Arabidopsis thaliana: one gene and its partners. The protein of the gene in region 2 binds, or shares a complex with, the protein of the main gene of each other region. Each region holds a gene or a part of one and is shown on either strand. Other genes may lie near its edges.

Region 1 (3,077 bases), on a different chromosome or scaffold from region 2:
AGAGAGACGTTGAAGAAGATGACTAGTGGAGGAGGATACGGAGATCCGTCGCAGAAGATTGATTATGTGTTCAAAGTGGTGTTGATCGGCGATTCCGCGGTTGGGAAATCACAGATACTGGCTCGTTATGCTAGAGACGAATTCAGTTTGGATTCTAAGGCCACCATCGGCGTTGAGTTTCAGACTCGGACGCTTGTTATCGATCACAAGAGTGTTAAGGCTCAGATCTGGGATACCGCCGGCCAAGAACGGTAATCTCCGACCTCTCCCGGAACTTTTAGCTACTTCAATTGCTTGAACTTAGATCTCGTAAGATTTTACTGTTTCTCTAGATCTGGAAGATGATAGGTCTGCTTAGGATTTCGAATTCTAGTAAAGCTTACTGATCTGTATACGAAATTGGGAGGATCTGAAGTAAAATGGTAGAATCATTGAGAATTTGGGATTGGGATTTCAAAATTATGTATAGACTAGAATTATGTATATTACTATTCCAATGTTATTAAGCTTCTATAATTTTATGATTGGTACAAATTTGGACACTTTTGTTATACATTTCCCAGTGATGCTTCATCAACTTTATACATTCACTGATCTTTAATGAGTAAGCTAACCACCACATTTCATGCTTATCATATGCTTACATTGTATATCTTTCTATATGTGTGGTATTGGTTGAAACAGATACAGAGCAGTAACAAGTGCATATTACCGAGGAGCGGTTGGGGCGATGTTGGTGTATGACATAACCAGACGCCAAACCTTTGACCATATCCCAAGATGGTTAGAAGAACTACGTGCTCATGCAGATAAGAACATTGTGATAATCCTTATTGGGAACAAGTCAGATCTTGTGGATCAACGAGCTATACCGACAGAAGATGCGAAAGAATTTGCGGAGAAAGAAGGTTTGTTCTTCTTGGAGACATCTGCATTTAACGCAACCAATGTTGAGAGCGCTTTCTCCACGGTTTTGACTGAGATCTTCAACATTGTGAACAAGAAAAGTCTGGCTGCGAGTGAAGATCAAGAGAATGGTAATCCCGGGTCGCTTGCTGGTAAGAAGATTGATATTGTTCCAGGTCCTGGTCAAGTGATACCAAACAAGAGTAACATGTGTTGTAACTCTTAGATAAACCAATTCAATTCTTGAATGTTACTTGATAACAACAATATATAGATGTTTTAAAGACTCTGATTGGGATATTTCTCCTATCTAGAGCTGTGTGATTCATTTGTTGCTTAATGAGCAGTTTTTGTGGGGTTTTGGGGTGTTGAATCCAAGTATAACAAACCGATCTTAATTTGATCTTAAAAATTGGATATTAATTTGATCAACATGTTTTTATTCTCTCTACATTTGTAAGATTATTGTTACATTTTTGTTAATTACAAATATATACCAGCAATAACAACTTTTCTATTTCTCTTGTTACGTCAATGTGAAAAAGTAAAAATTAAAAACTGAAGCATCCGATTTTAATAATTGGTATCACAGTTCTGATAAATTCTCACTCGGCCGTTTTACCACTCGATTGCTTTATTCTCTCTAATTTCAGGTAATCTTCGAATCCTGCTTGATTCTTCAATCTTGTATGATTTGATCAGAAAGTTCAGGATTACTGATCTGATATGATGTGAGAAATCTGCGTACCATCGGCAATGGATTGTTTTACGTGATTAGAATTGATTTTGTCGTGATTGTTACTTCTCTTTTTAGCTTTTTATGGGGATGACAAGTTTTGCATTGCCTCCTTTGGTTAGTAAACTCAAATCATATGTTTCTTATGCAGCAAGTTGTCGATTTGAATGAAGAAATGAAATTAATTGATTAGGTTTTAGATAATTTTGCTGGAGAGTGTAGAGAAAGAGAGAGATCCAATGGCTGGTGCAGCAGCATTTGTTGAAGCTGATAATGCAGAGGAAATAATGGCAAGGATCGAAACCAAATCGCAGAAGATTGAAAGCTTACTCAAACAGTAATAACCCTAAAGTTCCTTTTTTCTTCCAACTTTCTCAGATGACCTAGGCTATAATTGTTACTTCGTTTTATTCAGCTACAAACATGTCGAAGCTCTTAAAACGGCTCTTGATGGTTCGCCACCTAAAACTCTCGACGAACGTTGCAAGGTCCTACTGTTTCCTCTACCATGCACATAAGTAGTTTGTTCATGATCAAAAAGATTGTGTAATTTATGATAAATATCTGTGAAATTGCAGTCAGCTAATTGGATAGTTGTGCACAGAGCTATCATGGCGATAAAGGATATCGAAGGAATGTTAAATTCTCTTACTGCCGAGTATTACGACATTCTCATGAAGTAAGTCTCTTGCCTTTTGCTCTGCTAGCTTTTAATTAGCGTGATGTGGAAGCAGTGTTTTGTTTGCTTAAATGGTGTGGATCAGGTACTTGTACAGAGGTCTTTCGACTGGTGACGAACCCACATGCGAACAGTGTTTGATGATTCACGAGAAACTAACAGAGAGAGCTGGTCTCGGTTGCATTCTCCGTTGTCTGAGTGATACTACCAATACCGTTTAAACCATTAAGCTGATCTTTTCATGTTACTTTTATTCTTGTTTTCTATGAATGTTTCTCCCAAATCTCAAGTTACTTCAATAGATTATAGAAAGTGGAATAAACCGGAGAACCTAAGATCCTTTCACAAAGAGATAGTCATAAAAGAACCTACGGTTACCTGGTTTTAAATTATATCTCATAACCAGGAAACTTAGAATCTACCGGCGACACAAGATCGAACCAGAGGCATACTGGTCCAGCTAGTCCCCGGAATAGCGAATAATCATGTTCTGTTTCTTGGCTTGTCATATTCACGAGCTCTATCGCATCACGGCACAAGTAACTCGCAAACGCTTTTGCTCTCTCTTCATATACAACATCTCCGGTTAAGCGATAAAGGGATAAGAAAGCGTAGGCATTACCAGCAACTCCATCAGCTAAACCTACCTTCTTCACCAAGCCACTCTTCCACACTACTTCTCCTGCTTCAATGGCTGCTTCGCGGAAATCCCTTTCCTTGGGAAACACCTGAGATGCTTTAGCCAAAGTAATGGCC
Region 2 (6,589 bases):
CGTCTTTAGTATTTCTTGAGGGGGATTAATAGGTTTTTAATTAGGATTTATTATTGGATTCAAATCCCCTTTTATGTCGCATATAAGTTCATATGTAACTATGTAAGAATGTTATAGAATTTAGTAACCGAAGCAGCTGGTACATAAATCCATAACTATCATTTATTGGAATAAAACTGTTACAAAGACAATAAGTCACAAAATGTTACAAATTAACGGAAGTACCCAACCATTTTGTGGTAAATTATTAAACGTGAATATTTTCTCCTATGAATGATATAGAAGTGTTAAATTGATTAATGATGAATGGTGCAGATTCAACGGCTTAGATTTTCTGGGAAGGATAATGAAAGGGAAGAAACTGATGTTCGTAGGAGATTCACTGAGTCTAAACCAATGGCAATCTCTCACGTGTTTGCTCCACAACGCCGCACCAAAAGCCAATTCCACATCCACACGTTCCCCTTCTGGCCTCTCCGTCTTCTCATTCCCCGTAACGTTTTCTAACTTTATCAAACTCGTTCCGGTATTGATCCGGTTTAATAATTCTGGTTCGGTTCGTATTTAAATGCATGCAATGCAGGCTTACAATTCTTCGATTATGTTTTCAAGAAACGCGTTTCTTGTGGATATAGTCGGAGCCCCACCGAAGCGAGTGATGAAGCTTGACTCAATCTCGAGTGGTTCGTTGTGGAAAACCGCAGACGTTTTGGTCTTCAACTCTTGGCATTGGTGGCTTCACACAGACCGAAAACAACCGTAAAATCATCTTTATGTCGTCAAACATATTTTGCTATGGACTATGGACTTATTAGTATCTAACTAATGTAATCATTTGGGGTTGCAGATGGGACGCAATTATGTCCGGGAATGTAACGGTTAAAGACATGGACCGGTTAGTGGCATATGAGAAAGCAATGATGACTTGGGCTAAGTGGATTGATCAAAATATTGATCCTTCCAAAACCAAAGTCTTCTTCCAAGGTATTTCTCCGGACCATGGCCGGTAAGTTCTACCTCTATATAACTTCTTTTTTATTCGATACATACATTAAATCAACGATAAAAACTTAACACGATTGATATATGTTGGATTAGTCTATAAGTTTTCGTTAGAACCAAATAATTTCATGTTGATATTGTTAACAATAATGGTACATAATGTTACAGGGCAAGGGAATGGTCGAAACAAGGTGGCAAAGGCAGTTGCATAGGAGAAACAAAGCCGATTATGGGATCGAGTTACCTGGCTGGGCCGCACGCAGCCGAGATGGTGGTGGCGAAAGTGATAAAGACGATGAAGAATCAGGCGCGGTTAATGGATGTGACATTGATGTCTCAGCTAAGGAAAGATGGACATCCTTCAGTATACGGTTTTGGCGGTCACAGAATGGCGGATTGTAGCCATTGGTGTCTCTCTGGAGTCCCGGATAGCTGGAACCAGCTCTTGTATTCTGAGCTGTTTCATTCTTAAAATTTTGATGGTTTTGACACAAAACTAAATTCATTATATGATTTATACATTTATTTATGACCTAACCATGTTTGTGTTGTTTTACACATTTATTTTATGTCATAAACATGTTTATTTAGAATTTCAAATTCATTTGTCAACCAAAATGTTTAAATGAGAACAAGATTCTTTGACTGGTCGAACAATTTATAAGAGAAGAATTTGCAAGAATATAACCTTATGATCTCGTTATAATTGAATGGACTAAATATGTGTCCTGAATCTCTAAGTGAGAGATTAGAGGAAGACCAAAACTAGAAGTAAACCTTATTCCACGAGAGGGGATAACTAGCGTAGCTTATATAATAACTTTGTACAATGATTTGGGGTTAAGTTATTTTTGGATTATGCTAAATCAAAATCTAATATAGTGGTGCAAGCCCCTTGACTTGGGTCAATGATTCAAAAGCTTATACAAAAAAAAAAACGAAAAAACTAATAGTAAAACATTACTTTAGAAAAAAGTTACTAATCAATATTTTTTTAAAAATTTCAGATTACTTTATAAGTTACTCTATACTCATAGACTCATAGTGAGATATAGTTCTATTTTTACATGGATGAATTGGATCGAATCCATTTATCTACATTAATGTATTTAACTAATGCAGAACTTAAGCCTTTTATCGGAAAAAACAAAAACAAAACTAATGCAGATTACAGAACTATAGATTTAAAAATAAAAATAATTCGATTTTTTCCTTATTATTATGCTGGTTTGCCCAAAAATAAAGGTCCAAGTAAAACTGAAATTGATCTGGTCATAAAAATTGGGGCTTTAGTAAAAAAAAAAAAAAAAAAAAAAACATCTGTCTCTTTCACTTCACGTTTGCGACTGTGTCGTCGTCCACCTCCGGATCTCATCGGCGTTTCATCATAATTATCTGTCCATCTATTCACCGTACGACTCCGTTTTAGGAATCTGTGGATGTCAATTTGAGAGAAAAGACTGTCTTCATTACAACACATTTGGGACAACAAGGATCACTCATGGCAGTGGTGGATGTTCATCGTTTCGCTGAGTCAATCACTTGCCATGCTTGGAGTCCTGATCTCTCCAGTATGTTTCTAACACCTCTCTGATTTTGTGATTCTCTTCTTTCTCTCTTCCGTCGTTTTTTCCGTTTTAGAATTATAAATGAGGAGGATCTATCTATAGTTAGTTTGGCTGGGAAGATAGATAGATGATACAACTAAATTGACTTGTGTTATTCTTATACATCTTGGTAATCAAATTTCTTCGAGTCAATGTTTTATATGTCTGTTTGTCGGTGTCTCTTGTTAGGAACACTTGGTATCTAGTATTGTACATTAGTAGATGCGCTTTTCTAAACAGATGAACCAAATCTATTGTTACAAATGATTTAACGTCTGTACTAAAGCCTGTAACCATTTATGTGCTTTGACATTTGTTTCGTTTTTCTTGGTAGTGGTTGCTCTCTGTCCTAACAACACTGAAGTTCATATCTATAAATCATTGTCTCAAGACCACTGGGAGAGGTTACATGTCCTCCAAAAGGTGAAACCTTTCTCTCTCCCTCTCTTTCTGTAACTTTTGAACTTGCATTCCTTTTGCTTTCTCTTCTTGGGAATTCCTTACTTTCGTATATTTATGTATTCTCATTTCACTGATCACTTGTCGCTGATAAGTGTTGTATAGACAGCTTGAATCTCCCTTACAACAACTTCATGATTATTGTTCGTCTTGTTGCAGCATGACCAAATTGTTTCTGGAATAGATTGGAGCTCAAAGTCCAACAAAATCGTCACTGTTTCTCATGACAGGAACTCGTAAGTTGCTACCTTTGATATACTTTGAGAAACTCCAAACCTGTTAATCTTAGTCCTTCACTTTTTTTCGTTCGTTGAACTGAGTTTAGAATGCTTCTTGAAGGTACGTCTGGAGCCTGGAAGGAGCTGAATGGGTACCAACTCTCGTTATTCTTAGACTAAATCGTGCTGCACTTTGTGTCCAATGGAGCCCCAAAGGTAAATGTTTAATTTTTCTGGTTCTTAAGCTTAATTTCCGTAATATGTAGTGTAATTTTCCTATAATTTCTACAGCTTCTAATCTATGTTCTCATCTTTTTGCTCAATACCCATAGAGAACAAGTTTGCTGTTGGAAGTGGTGCTAAAACTGTTTGTATTTGCTATTATGAGCAAGAGAATAACTGGTATTTTCTTCTTCTGCTCCTAATTCTCATTATTAGTCCTTGATTTTTTCTTTGGCAAGTTTCCTGACTTCTTTGCTACGAATGGTGTTGTTGGTCTATGTAATGATATTATTTTGTCTTATGTACTGGCATGATATTAGCACCAATCATATTTTTTATTATCTTGGCATGCATAACTGTGTATTGTTTAGAGATTTTAGAAAGATACTTTCATGTAAACTTTTAGTATCTGACATTGCTTGGCTTTACTGTTTTCAGGTGGGTCAGTAAGCTAATCCGGAAAAGGCACGAATCTTCAGTCACATCTGTTGCTTGGCATCCTAATAATGTACGTGCAATCAACAGAACCTCTTGTAGTTCATGTAGTTAAAATAATAAGCAGGCTCTCTGTAAAAGCATTCTCTACCAAAAATATTCTATAAGTTGGCCACCAGATTGAGTATAGAGTACATGATCCCTAAAAATAGAATATCAATCTCCACAAACTAGTTAATCTTCTAAATCATTTTTTCTCGTATGCTTTTTTATGTTGCTGTGCTCTCTGATTGTCTGTTATGCATTAGGTTCTTCTGGCAACGACATCAACAGATGGAAAATGTCGGGTATTTTCAACATTTATCAAAGGAGTTGACACAAAGTATGCTCATTACTTGAACGTCTACTTTTAAAACATTTTTTCAAACATGAGGCCGTTTCTTATTTGTCTTTCAATGGGCTGATACAGGGATTCAAAAGCAGGCTCACCAGCGGAAACGAAATTTGGGGAGGTTTGACTCGTTTGGCTGGCTTTCCTTCTTTTAGTAAATAGTATACCACTTCTGCCATATATATGTTCCCTCTACTCACTCTCTTATCTAATGTTAGGGAGCTTTTTTTCTGTTGAAACAGCAAATTCTTCAGCTTGATCTCTCATATTCTTGGGCATTTGGTGTTAAATGGTCTCCAAGTGGAAACACCTTAGCTTATGTAGGTCAGAATATCCTTAAAACTTAAGATGTTTGTCCATTGAGCTCTACTGGAATTATAAAAATGGAACTTCACCTTGGTTGCATAATTTTTACTACACTCCGTCTCACTTCCCTTGTTCATGCAATCTTGTTTATAGGTCATAGCTCCATGATTTACTTTGTTGATGATGTTGGTCCTTCTCCTTTAGCCCAAAGCGTTGCATTTCGAGATTTGCCTCTTCGTGATGTGGGTCAGCATCCACTCTTTTTTTTCTTTTGAGAAAGTGTTCTCATGTGTTATATCCTGAATTGATATATTATCGGGAACTTGCTATCTTCAGGTCCTGTTTATTTCTGAGAAAATGGTGATAGGCGTGGGATATGACAGCAACCCGATGGTATTTGCCTCAGATGATACTGGAATATGGTGTGTAACTCTTAGTTTTCTCTTTCTTAGCTATTTCCAGACAATCAAATACTTCAATTCATTAATTCTCCTTAGCTCTCAGGCCGGATAGTTATTTCTGAAATCATCCACACACCGATGATTGCCTTGTTTACAAGTTTTTGTTTATGGTCTGCAGGAGCTTTATCAGATACATCGGAGAGAAGAAAGCAGCATCTTCAAATTCCAGTTACAGTTCGCAGGTACATACCATGTTTTCTTTCTTGAATAAAATATGAGTGAACTTAGCTTATTCCTGAAGTGTTCCTCTAAGATAGTAGTAATCTTTCGGGTTAGTGTAGTTGCTCCTTTTTTCTCCTTGGGTTTACTACTTTGAACTTTCCACTTGCATTATTTGTACTGTTTTGTCTAATCCTTTTTTTCATTATGTTATCTTTTCAGTTTTCTGAAGCATTTGGAAAATTCTACGGCAGTCAATCAAAGTCCACAACAGCCAACGATGCTTCTGAATCACGTGGAGGTGTTCATGATAACTGCATAAAGTAATTATTTCTTAAGCTAACTTTTCTTTTACCAAATCATTTGCCAGAAACCTGCCTCATTAACTCTTTTACTTCGATTGTCTATTAAGAACCTGACATGGAAGGTTACCTGAAAATTGCAGTTCCATTGTGTCTCTGAGCAAAGCAGGGAGTCCTAAAGTAATGCGATTCAGCACTTCAGGTCAGTCACTAATACAAAATGGAATTAGCCGATTCAGTTCTCAAAAAACAAACCAGCAGTTTCATTTACTCGCATAACGGTTTGTTATTTATAGGATTGGATGGCAAAGTTGCCATATGGGATCTGGAGAACATGGAACAAGAACTTGGCAATCAGTTTTAATAAACACACAAATAAAACAATTCTGGCTCACAAGCAAGGTTTTACTTAAGTTTAAACTACTTTTTCAATTTCGTAATTGTTTCACTTTGTAAACTGCCACAATAAAAGGCCTTATTTTCTTGGTTTGTGTAAGGGCAGGTATTAATAAGTTTCTTGGCTTCATGATTTGATTCATTTAGTTAGCATCTTGTAATACCTTTTATATATAGTAATATCAGCTTTGTGTCGAAAGGAGTCCATATTGAACCAAACACAACAATTTCGCAAAATTTTCAAGTTCTTGAGAAGAAGCAAAAAGCTTTGGTCCTCCGAACTATGCCATATTTACCACAAAACGAGATATCGACAAACATTAATCTTCTATCAGATGACAGAAGTGTGATTCAGAAGACCAAATATTCTTTGAATGTTTCTCACTTATTGCAAAACAACTACTGTCCTCGTCCTAAGCAACTTCCAGAGTACCTAGTTTTTAAAGCATGAACTAGAGTTGTAACTCAGAAGCAGATATGCAGAGAAACACGACTTGGAACGATTGATTATATGTCTCCAAGATCCTTCCTTTTCGTCCCATAAGCAATATAGTTGACACTAATATCATCTGACAATAACCATCTTCCTGTTATTGGGTTGTACACAAATCCAGCTATCTCTTTCACCTGC
Region 3 (3,433 bases), on a different chromosome or scaffold from region 2:
AAATATTAGCAATGAAAACAAAACTATCAAAGAATTGTTTTTGAAGTTAAAAAATATAAAATTTCAAAGTTCGAGGTCGGTGGCTAACTAACATGAAAAGCGCCGAGCAACTTGTGATATGTACGAGTTGGACCAAGTCGTGACGACTTTTTTAATAAGCTTAAGATCCAATTATTTCTCAAGAAAAACAGTAAAACGTACGCCAACATATATTAACTACGACGACAAAATTCTTGGCCTTTAAGAAAGACTAGTACACGATCAATCCCAACGATTAAACCAGCAGACGAGTAACCATATGTAGGGTACGAGTTTCTCAACCACATCTCCAACTTTTCAGTAGACGATCTAATTATGTTTAACCACTAGAAGCCGACACCATAAACATCCATCCGAGGTTATCGTCTTTCGAAGAGTTCCTAACGAGCATTCATGAAACATCATTCTCACTTCTCCTCCCACTAAACCGACTTTTTTCGGATGTTATTTCAAATTTGGTTAATTGCTAAATGATTGACCATTAATTCGACCACGTGATTACACAAAGAGACGTTTAGATCCACTACATTGGTGCGATGTGAAGTGATCACCATGCTTTAGTTTACACGTCCACTTTATATAGGTTTGGCAGTTAAAAAAAAGAAGTTTTATACATAGTTCTATCAAGTGGTCTTAGACCGAATCTTGGCAATATATTTGTTATAAGACTACCAATATCATTAATGATTAGAGAAAGTTAATGTTAAGTTTCATCAGATTCTAATTTAAAACCAATGGGTAATGATTGGATTGGTTGTGTTCCATATATACTAGTGTTAGCACTTAGCAGTCATGAGTGTGTTTACTCCATTTATAGTATACTTTCGATGTAGGATCCTAATTAGAATGATAAAGAAACATTCCAAAAGAGTATTATCAAAATGCTCTTCGTCTATCCATACAAATATAATGAGATTTGGGCAGAAACAACCATTTTGTTAACATATTAGGGTCGAGCGCAGAAAAAAATATATTTTGACCTGTGTTAATAAAATAGAATAGGTTGCGATTTTAATTAAGGAGGTTAATAAATTAAAATCGTAAAAATGATACCAAAATGGTAACAAAATCGTAAAGAAAAGTTCATTAGTATAAATATAAAAAATTCGGTCCAACAAATATTACTATTAAAAATTTATAAGAGAGATTTATAATAAAAAAAAAATTGTTATACCAAGAAAGAAAAGGAGATTCTTGTATTGTAACCCGTTTGTGTGTCTTTTTTAGTCTCAGATTTGTTTTAATTTTCTATGACTTAGGATTTGTAAGTCTTTTTTGGATTTCTAGAACCTGATCGAGGAAATTTCAATGAATATAGTGTAATTGGTTTGTTTGGATTTTGTTCCCTTTGTTTACCTTGTTTGGTATTTGGCTTCGGGAGTGTTCTTGTACTCATCGGCTTATGTCTCCGGAAGTGGTTTGTACTTGCCGGCTCTTGTATTTCAACTTGAATCCTATCGATGAAAATCCTATTGACAAAAAATGAAAAAAAAAATGAAGCTTCCATCATCCATCATTCAGTGGCAGCATAAGCATTTAAGACTACGTGCCGTTTAAGGCCAAGACAAACGGCACTCAGTTCCCTTTTGAAATGGTCAAATGGCGATTGAGTTGTTTTCCTCTCTCTCTCTCATTTTTTCAATTAAAGAAGGGAAAGAGGGGAAATCTCTGATCGGAGAGAAAGATCGAATCGAAGAATGGCAGAATTCGTTGAAGCTGATAACGCAGAAGCAATAATCGCGAGGATCGAAACCAAATCGAGGAAGATTGAAAGCCTACTCAAACAGTAATATCAGACCTTGGAGCTAAACCCTAAAGTCTTCTTTTGTTTTTGGTTTAATCCCTTATCGGTGTTTTAATGTGTGCAGGTACAAACATGTAGAAGCTTTGAAAACGGCTCTTGAAGGTTCGCCTCCGAAAACTCGCGATGAACGTTGCAAGGTCTCTCTCTTTCCGAAACCATCTTTTTTTTTTTTTTTGATTTACTGAGCCAAAAAAAACTCAACTGCAGTCGGCTAATTGGATAGTTGTGCACAGAGCTTTAATGGCCATTAAGGATATTGACGGAATGCTCAATGCTCTTGATGTCGAATATTACGACATTCTCATGAAGTAAGTGCAAAGTTGGTTTTTTTTTTTTTTGCTGTAATGCGTTTTGTAATATGTATGAATTGGAAAGCTCTATCCTCAGGCTGTCTGTGCTCTTTGATAGAATGTTTTTGCTTAAAATTCTCAGGTACTTGTACAGAGGACTTTCTACTGGGGACCGACCCACCTGCGATCAGTGCCTGAAGATTCACGAGAAACTCACTGAGAGAGCTGGTCTCGGTTGCATTCTCCGATGTCTTACTGATACCATCAACACCGTTTGATCCATCATTCCCTCTTATGTATTATTACTTGATGCCTTGATGTTTCCAATGTGCATATTCTCCTTGAGGAACCATGTCTCACATTTATCAGTTTTAGACTTGTATTTTCATTACCAAACAGTTGCTTGATAAATGATAACACAAGTCATTCCTAGAGCTCATGTGTAACATAATTCCCGGATCAGCTGAATCATAAATACGAAGACCAAGTTGTGATTAAGTAATTTTAGGGGGGTGTATTGAAACCAGAATCTTTTAGAAGATTTGGTGGAATTTGCATTCTTCTACAGACCAAATCCATTCTCGATTTTGCCGGTGAAGAACAGAGACCGAAAGCTTTTTTCATGGAAGACGAGGGGAGGAGGACAATGAGAATATGTCGCAGAGATTTTCTGTGAATCTTTTTTTAAATCAAATCGTTCAGAATAACACCTACAGGTGAGATTTTTTCATGCTTATTTTCAACTAAATTTTTTTGCCTAAGTCTCCCAGAATCAATGTTAAATGTTTTTAATGAAATTGTTTTGTTGAGTTTAGATAACAGTGGATTTAAGATGTGTTTTATAAATTCTTGAATGAATAACAGAAGATTATAGATTCTTTTGAGTGATTTTATATAAATTCCAATTTCAATAACAAAGGATTTGAGAAAAAAATTACAAATCACAAGTTGAATACAACCATTCCTGATTCACTGAATGTTCATAACTCGAAGGCCCAATATCGAACTCAGCCCATTGAAACTAAATTCATTTCTAAACTTTCAATGTAAATGCACTCGTCATACAAGAGTAAATGTTCACATAGTTAGTCATTGATTTAAACAATTTTACTCTTTAGATTTTTAAAATTTTATAGGATTGTAATAAACCAGGTTGAATTCAAATGTCAAATAGCGTTAAATAAAAGTTTAGATCTTTTTTTTTTTTTTTTTTTTTTTTATCAACGTTAGTACAAGAAGAAACAAGAGCAGCTTTTGCCAAAGCATCAGCTTGATCAACGTTTCCTTATAAAAGACAAAA
Region 4 (4,816 bases), on a different chromosome or scaffold from region 2:
TTCTTTATCCATTCTCGAAACAATATTCTAGTCCTTAGAGCTAATGAGAGATTATACAATGGTTTGCGAAAATGTGAAGGTGATCAGTAAGGAAGATAGAATATGTTAAACCAACATCAAGAAGACAAAAAGGTTTCGTGGTGTAGTTGGTTATCACGTCAGTCTAACACACTGAAGGTCTCCGGTTCGAACCCGGGCGAAGCCAGTTAATTGCTTTTTATTTCATTTTTTGATACAATGAAACCTAACAATATATGCCCAGTCATAATTTATGGGCCTCAAAAGTATACTACGAAGGAATCGTTAATTTACTCGTGCGACCTTTGAATCTTCTTCTTATACCTTACTAGATCACTACAAATCTTTGATACATCTGTGTATAAGGATAAATTGAACGTTTGTTTTTATATGAAAATCAACTTTTACGACTATTTGTTGGTACGAATATTACTTCATTTAATTTGACTATCTGAGAATCTGAAGAACAATAAAGATTCATCTTCTTCATTTTTGTAAAAACAATTATAAAACAAAACAAAAACTTTATTTTCTGTTGAAAACACCATGTTTAGATCAAGACCAGACACAGTCCATATCAAGGTGAGTTTCTTACAATTTTCACATTATACATTTGTTCAAATATTTAGCAAGATCAGATGTATAGAAATATCTGAAAGAATTGTACTAAAATAAATATCACAGAGACTTAATCCAGTAAAAAAAATACATGTCTCAGCTAATCACAAGTTTTTACAAAATTGCTTCGTGAGAAATCCAACTACTTCGAGTTGGTGTGATTGACCTCGTTGAGTCCCTGTGAGGAAGAGGAAACAAAGCTCAAAAACAATGCAAACAAACAAAGAAAAAGTCTGTCGAAAAACAAATTGTTTCGCAACTTACTAGCCGTTTAAATGACTTGTTGTTCATCGATCTTGTTTTCTCCAATGGCTTAGCTTGATCCAGAGCCTGAGACAACAAGATTTTGTTAACTAAAGAACGCATATCCAAGTCGAATGTAATGAGTTTGGTGTTTTACCTGAATCATAGATTCCACGCGACGCCGCATCCTGGTGTGCATAAATCCCTCTGAGAACTGTGATATAACAACAAACGAACAAAAACTCAGTTTTACAAATCCATACTAAGATAGAGAGACTAAGTTCTGGTATTTAGAGAATATGAAAGTAGAAAACATGAAAGTTCGATAAAGAATATGAACCTTGACGTGATAACTAACATAAGCATGAAAGGTCGATAAATTCCAGACAGTACGATCGAGCTTTTTCCCTTCCACATGCCGAGGAAAAATGACTGCGATATATCGATAATCTCAAAGTTAGTTTCTTTCAGATTGGTACTACCAATGCAAATTGAGTTCGAACAGAATATATTTTAGAAAGATCATACCAAAAGTTACAAAACCGGCATTAGCGGATAGTGTTTCTTTAGGAGCTCCCTCTAATTCCTGCGGTGCGGTTGGAGACCAAGAACAAGAAGGAGCAGTATTAAGCGCAGCAGCACGCCTCGCCTCTACAAATTCCTATATCATTATATCCAAAGTTTCAGTACTACAGAAATCAAAACCTGTTTGAAAATTTAGCTTTGATCATTTTGTCACCTTAAGGAAAGAAGTCGCCAGAATCGTGTCTACGGAGTCTTTAAATCTCATAGGAAATGCCACAGTGACTTTATCCGCCTGTGATACACAGTTAAGTTCTCTATCACTCTCTAGATTCTTACTAATCATAAGAACCTACTTCAATGGCTACATACGAAAGACCTATAGAGTATATATATACCTGAGGCACGAGGAAAAACGTCTCGTTAGGTCTATGCATAATTGCTACAAGCCTATCCAGCTCAGGAGCAACCGTCCTTGAAGCTAAATGCTTGAAAATGATTTTTAACGGTGCACCCATCACCACTTCTCTAATGGAAGCTAGCTTCGTTAATAACTCTGCCAAAACATAGATACTTTCTATTAGAGAACAAAACCAACATCTAAATCAAAACAACATCTTATCAATTAGAGAAAGAGACTCGTTTAAAAACCTTCATCAGGACGAACTTTAGAGAAATTGAGCTTGAGGGTTAAACTAAAACCATCTCTAGGAGGATCAAGTATTTGAAAACCTGTCCCGTAAGTGGTTTTAATAGCTTCTATAGCTCCTAAAGGAAGTCCATCAAAGGACATTGCTTCAGGTGGTGGATTTGGTAACGAAACCGAAAGCAACAACAGATTTGGATTCTTCATTGTCACCTATCAAACAAAATTCATATAGTCTCAGAACATTGAACAAGATCATATGGATCTCAGAGGTCAAATACTCAAATGTTGGTATAAAATTCACACCTGAACATGGTAACGAACATCATCAAATTCAATCCATTGATAATCTAGCTCCACTGCTTTATCAAGACTGAACCAAAACATAAACAAAATCAAGCAAAGTATTGAACTTTGGTTCCATTCTACAAAACCCAGTTCTTCCAAAATGTTTCAGATTTCTTCACAAAATCAAAATCAAATCGACCAAAATAAAAAATGGGTCTTATTGTAGATTAGGTAAAACTAAGAGTGTACCTAATTAAGAATTGAAAAGCACTTACTTTTGAGCTCGCGTCAATAGCGTTTGAAGAAGAAACCTTGAATGTGACTGCAATAGTATCATCGATTACTTTCTTACGATATCTAAAGGAGTTAACTGAATCACAGAGAAACCCTAGAGCCTTTGAGTTCTTCTCACGGGATCTAATCGGAGAAGAAAGAGAGCTCGTCGGAGACAAACGAAGACGACCGAGATTCTCTGTCACAGCTTGAACGTTTCTTCGATAACTTTTTGGAATTTTACTAATTTGTTCAATTTTATTACTCAGCTACTCAGCTAAGTGTAACGACGCCGTTTCGTTATTTCTGTACTTTATATTTTTTATGAATTTAAATGGCCCATAGGCCCAATTATGTAAATACTATGTAGTATAAGCTGAGCCCATTTCATAAATATACAATTTGAGCTTAAACGTTTCAAAAATATTTAATGTTGCAAATATCTGTATGTTTGTTTTGACAGTGGCAAACTAGTAGTGTTTTCTAGATTTTTTTTTTTCCTTCAGATTTTAACATTTGTATTATTATTTTTTCTCTGGCTTTTGATTATACCTGGCTATGTTGATTGTAATCTGACGAAGGTTTTTAAAAAAAAAATAAGCACGTAAATTAAATGATATTTTATATTTTAGATTCCAGATATATGATTATTTGAATGGAAATAAACGACAAAAATTAGTGGAGCAATGTTTTCGTATTATCTGACGTCTTCATAATATTTTAATCTAACAAAAGTTGGAATTTGACCGTTTAATGTGTGCTTTTAAAATTGAGAGATTAATTTGGATAAGATATGGCTCTTTTCTTTTTGTAAGTGGAGATATTTAACTAATTAGAATGTTACATTAGTTTTTTCAACAATGAAAAGATAAGATATTTGATCTATAAGTCTACGTATATTTTCAAATTTAAATTGGCCAGAGTGGGATAAAGACAAATAACATATGCATGTGAAGTTTTTATTTTTATTGATATTAAAGTAGACTAGTATAGTCTCTAAATGTAATTTAACGAACAATAGTATACGAACGATTTATAGTTAATATTAGTTTAAAGCTCTTTAAATAATATTCTTATTAAGTTTTTTTACTTTGACGACAAATATTTTTAGGTTAGATATGAAAGCTACATCTACATATAAAAAGAAATTATTATTTTTTAGCTTTAAAATTGTCTATTTTGAAATTGATCGTGGGCAGACGGATGTGAGAGATGAAGGAGCCTCAAAAGCAAAACTATCTCACGTATCTATACGCACACACATATATACGGATATGGTCCTACTGCATCGACATAAGCTTACATACTATAAATGCATGTGATGGCTTTTCTTAGCATAAATATTCATGAATAAATATGCGAAGTTATATTTATATTAGGGAGAAAAAAGTAGATATAGTAAAATGAGTAACGTTTGTAAGATAGATCGTGACATGGTCTTGGCAAAAGAGGAGCCGCTAGGGACGTATCTTCGCCATTGCATATTTGCATATCGATCTATATATAAGACCAAGTACTGATTTTAGAAAATCTGAAAAAAGCAGAAAAAGAAAACAGTCGTACGTACGTTATTTCTATAACCGGAAAACTTTGATAAAAACTTAAACCTTTCCTCTTATATTGAGAGTGAAAATTTTAACCCCTAAACCATAGATTGGTTGACGTAAAAGAATGTTATTTTTAACTAATCGATGGTAGCTCATTTAGCTGAACAATGATATTTACATTTTTATATGTCGAGTCATGGAGATAGTTAAAACTTCCAAACCATCCCTCCCAAAACTTCTATTGTATATATATTGCAATTTTTATTTTTCGCAATAAGAATTTATCTTTTCTAGAGTCTAGACTAAATTGTACTTTTGTGTTTGGTATAAAACTCTCAAGCAAAGTTAATTTTGAATTGTTAGATTCCAGCATAATTATTTATACAGTTAGCTAGTAAGCAAAACTGATTATGAACTCGTGAGACTTCTTAACTGTTCTAATACAACTATATATTATTATTATTAAAATTTACCGTGTCAAAGTCTAGGGTTCTAAATTTCTAATTAAATATTACCAGAAAGTGATGTAAAAACAAGGAGTACTAGAAAAAGTAATATCAAATATGGATAAGGTGAGTCATCGCCACGCATGTTGTCGAGTACGTACAATTGCGAAGGCCCATCATTTTTTCATATTCTGTAAACGTCAATAAAGTGACTA

Evidence for each region.
Region 1: ARPC1A (region 2) and AT5G65274 share a complex: the UniProt entries of both Arabidopsis thaliana proteins name them as parts of the arp2/3 complex.
Region 3: ARPC1A (region 2) and CRK share a complex: the UniProt entries of both Arabidopsis thaliana proteins name them as parts of the arp2/3 complex.
Region 4: ARPC1A (region 2) and DIS2 share a complex: the UniProt entries of both Arabidopsis thaliana proteins name them as parts of the arp2/3 complex.

The regions. Positions count from the first base shown.
Region 1 is NC_003076.8:26,083,419-26,086,495, forward strand, and holds AT5G65274 (ARP2/3 complex 16 kDa subunit (p16-Arc)), read left to right. Parts: upstream 1-1,881; coding exon 1,882-1,979; intron 1,980-2,057; coding exon 2,058-2,130; intron 2,131-2,174; exon of another isoform or gene 2,175-2,220; coding exon 2,221-2,321; exon of another isoform or gene 2,322-2,406; coding exon 2,407-2,542; downstream 2,543-3,077. Other genes in the region: RABA4a (RAB GTPase homolog A4A), read left to right, coding at 19-251, 685-1,132; GCL1 (GCR2-like 1), read right to left, coding at 2,711-3,077. UniProt on the Arabidopsis thaliana protein: Functions as a component of the Arp2/3 complex which is involved in regulation of actin polymerization and together with an activating nucleation-promoting factor (NPF) mediates the formation of branched actin networks.
Region 2 is NC_003071.7:13,150,944-13,157,532, forward strand, and holds ARPC1A (actin-related protein C1A), read left to right. Parts: upstream 1-1,845; 5' UTR 1,846-1,954; intron 1,955-2,229; exon of another isoform or gene 2,230-2,295; 5' UTR 2,296-2,503; coding exon 2,504-2,573; intron 2,574-2,943; coding exon 2,944-3,032; intron 3,033-3,227; coding exon 3,228-3,304; intron 3,305-3,407; coding exon 3,408-3,502; intron 3,503-3,618; coding exon 3,619-3,688; intron 3,689-3,946; coding exon 3,947-4,016; intron 4,017-4,251; coding exon 4,252-4,325; coding exon of another isoform or gene 4,326-4,344; intron 4,345-4,412; coding exon 4,413-4,455; intron 4,456-4,552; coding exon of another isoform or gene 4,553-4,576; coding exon 4,577-4,658; intron 4,659-4,793; coding exon 4,794-4,882; intron 4,883-4,976; coding exon 4,977-5,062; intron 5,063-5,219; coding exon 5,220-5,283; intron 5,284-5,482; coding exon 5,483-5,583; intron 5,584-5,705; coding exon 5,706-5,764; intron 5,765-5,858; coding exon 5,859-5,926; 3' UTR 5,927-6,089; downstream 6,090-6,589. Other genes in the region: TBL43 (TRICHOME BIREFRINGENCE-LIKE 43), read left to right, coding at 316-493, 584-759, 848-1,006, 1,171-1,474; COQ3 (coenzyme Q 3), read right to left, coding at 6,466-6,585. UniProt on the Arabidopsis thaliana protein: Functions as a component of the Arp2/3 complex which is involved in regulation of actin polymerization and together with an activating nucleation-promoting factor (NPF) mediates the formation of branched actin networks.
Region 3 is NC_003075.7:734,040-737,472, forward strand, and holds CRK (ARP2/3 complex 16 kDa subunit (p16-Arc)), read left to right. Parts: upstream 1-1,613; 5' UTR 1,614-1,736; coding exon 1,737-1,825; intron 1,826-1,907; coding exon 1,908-1,980; intron 1,981-2,050; coding exon 2,051-2,151; intron 2,152-2,275; coding exon 2,276-2,411; 3' UTR 2,412-2,926; downstream 2,927-3,433. Other genes in the region: AT4G01703 (uncharacterized protein), read right to left, coding at 213-326. UniProt on the Arabidopsis thaliana protein: Functions as a component of the Arp2/3 complex which is involved in regulation of actin polymerization and together with an activating nucleation-promoting factor (NPF) mediates the formation of branched actin networks.
Region 4 is NC_003070.9:10,958,962-10,963,777, reverse strand, and holds DIS2 (Arp2/3 complex, 34 kD subunit p34-Arc), read right to left. Parts: upstream 2,871-4,816; 5' UTR 2,673-2,870; coding exon 2,611-2,672; intron 2,421-2,610; coding exon 2,354-2,420; intron 2,261-2,353; coding exon 2,053-2,260; intron 1,958-2,052; coding exon 1,800-1,957; intron 1,697-1,799; coding exon 1,619-1,696; intron 1,541-1,618; coding exon 1,408-1,540; intron 1,312-1,407; coding exon 1,220-1,311; intron 1,094-1,219; coding exon 1,037-1,093; intron 967-1,036; coding exon 901-966; intron 815-900; coding exon 779-814; 3' UTR 547-778; downstream 1-546. UniProt on the Arabidopsis thaliana protein: Functions as actin-binding component of the Arp2/3 complex which is involved in regulation of actin polymerization and together with an activating nucleation-promoting factor (NPF) mediates the formation of branched actin networks.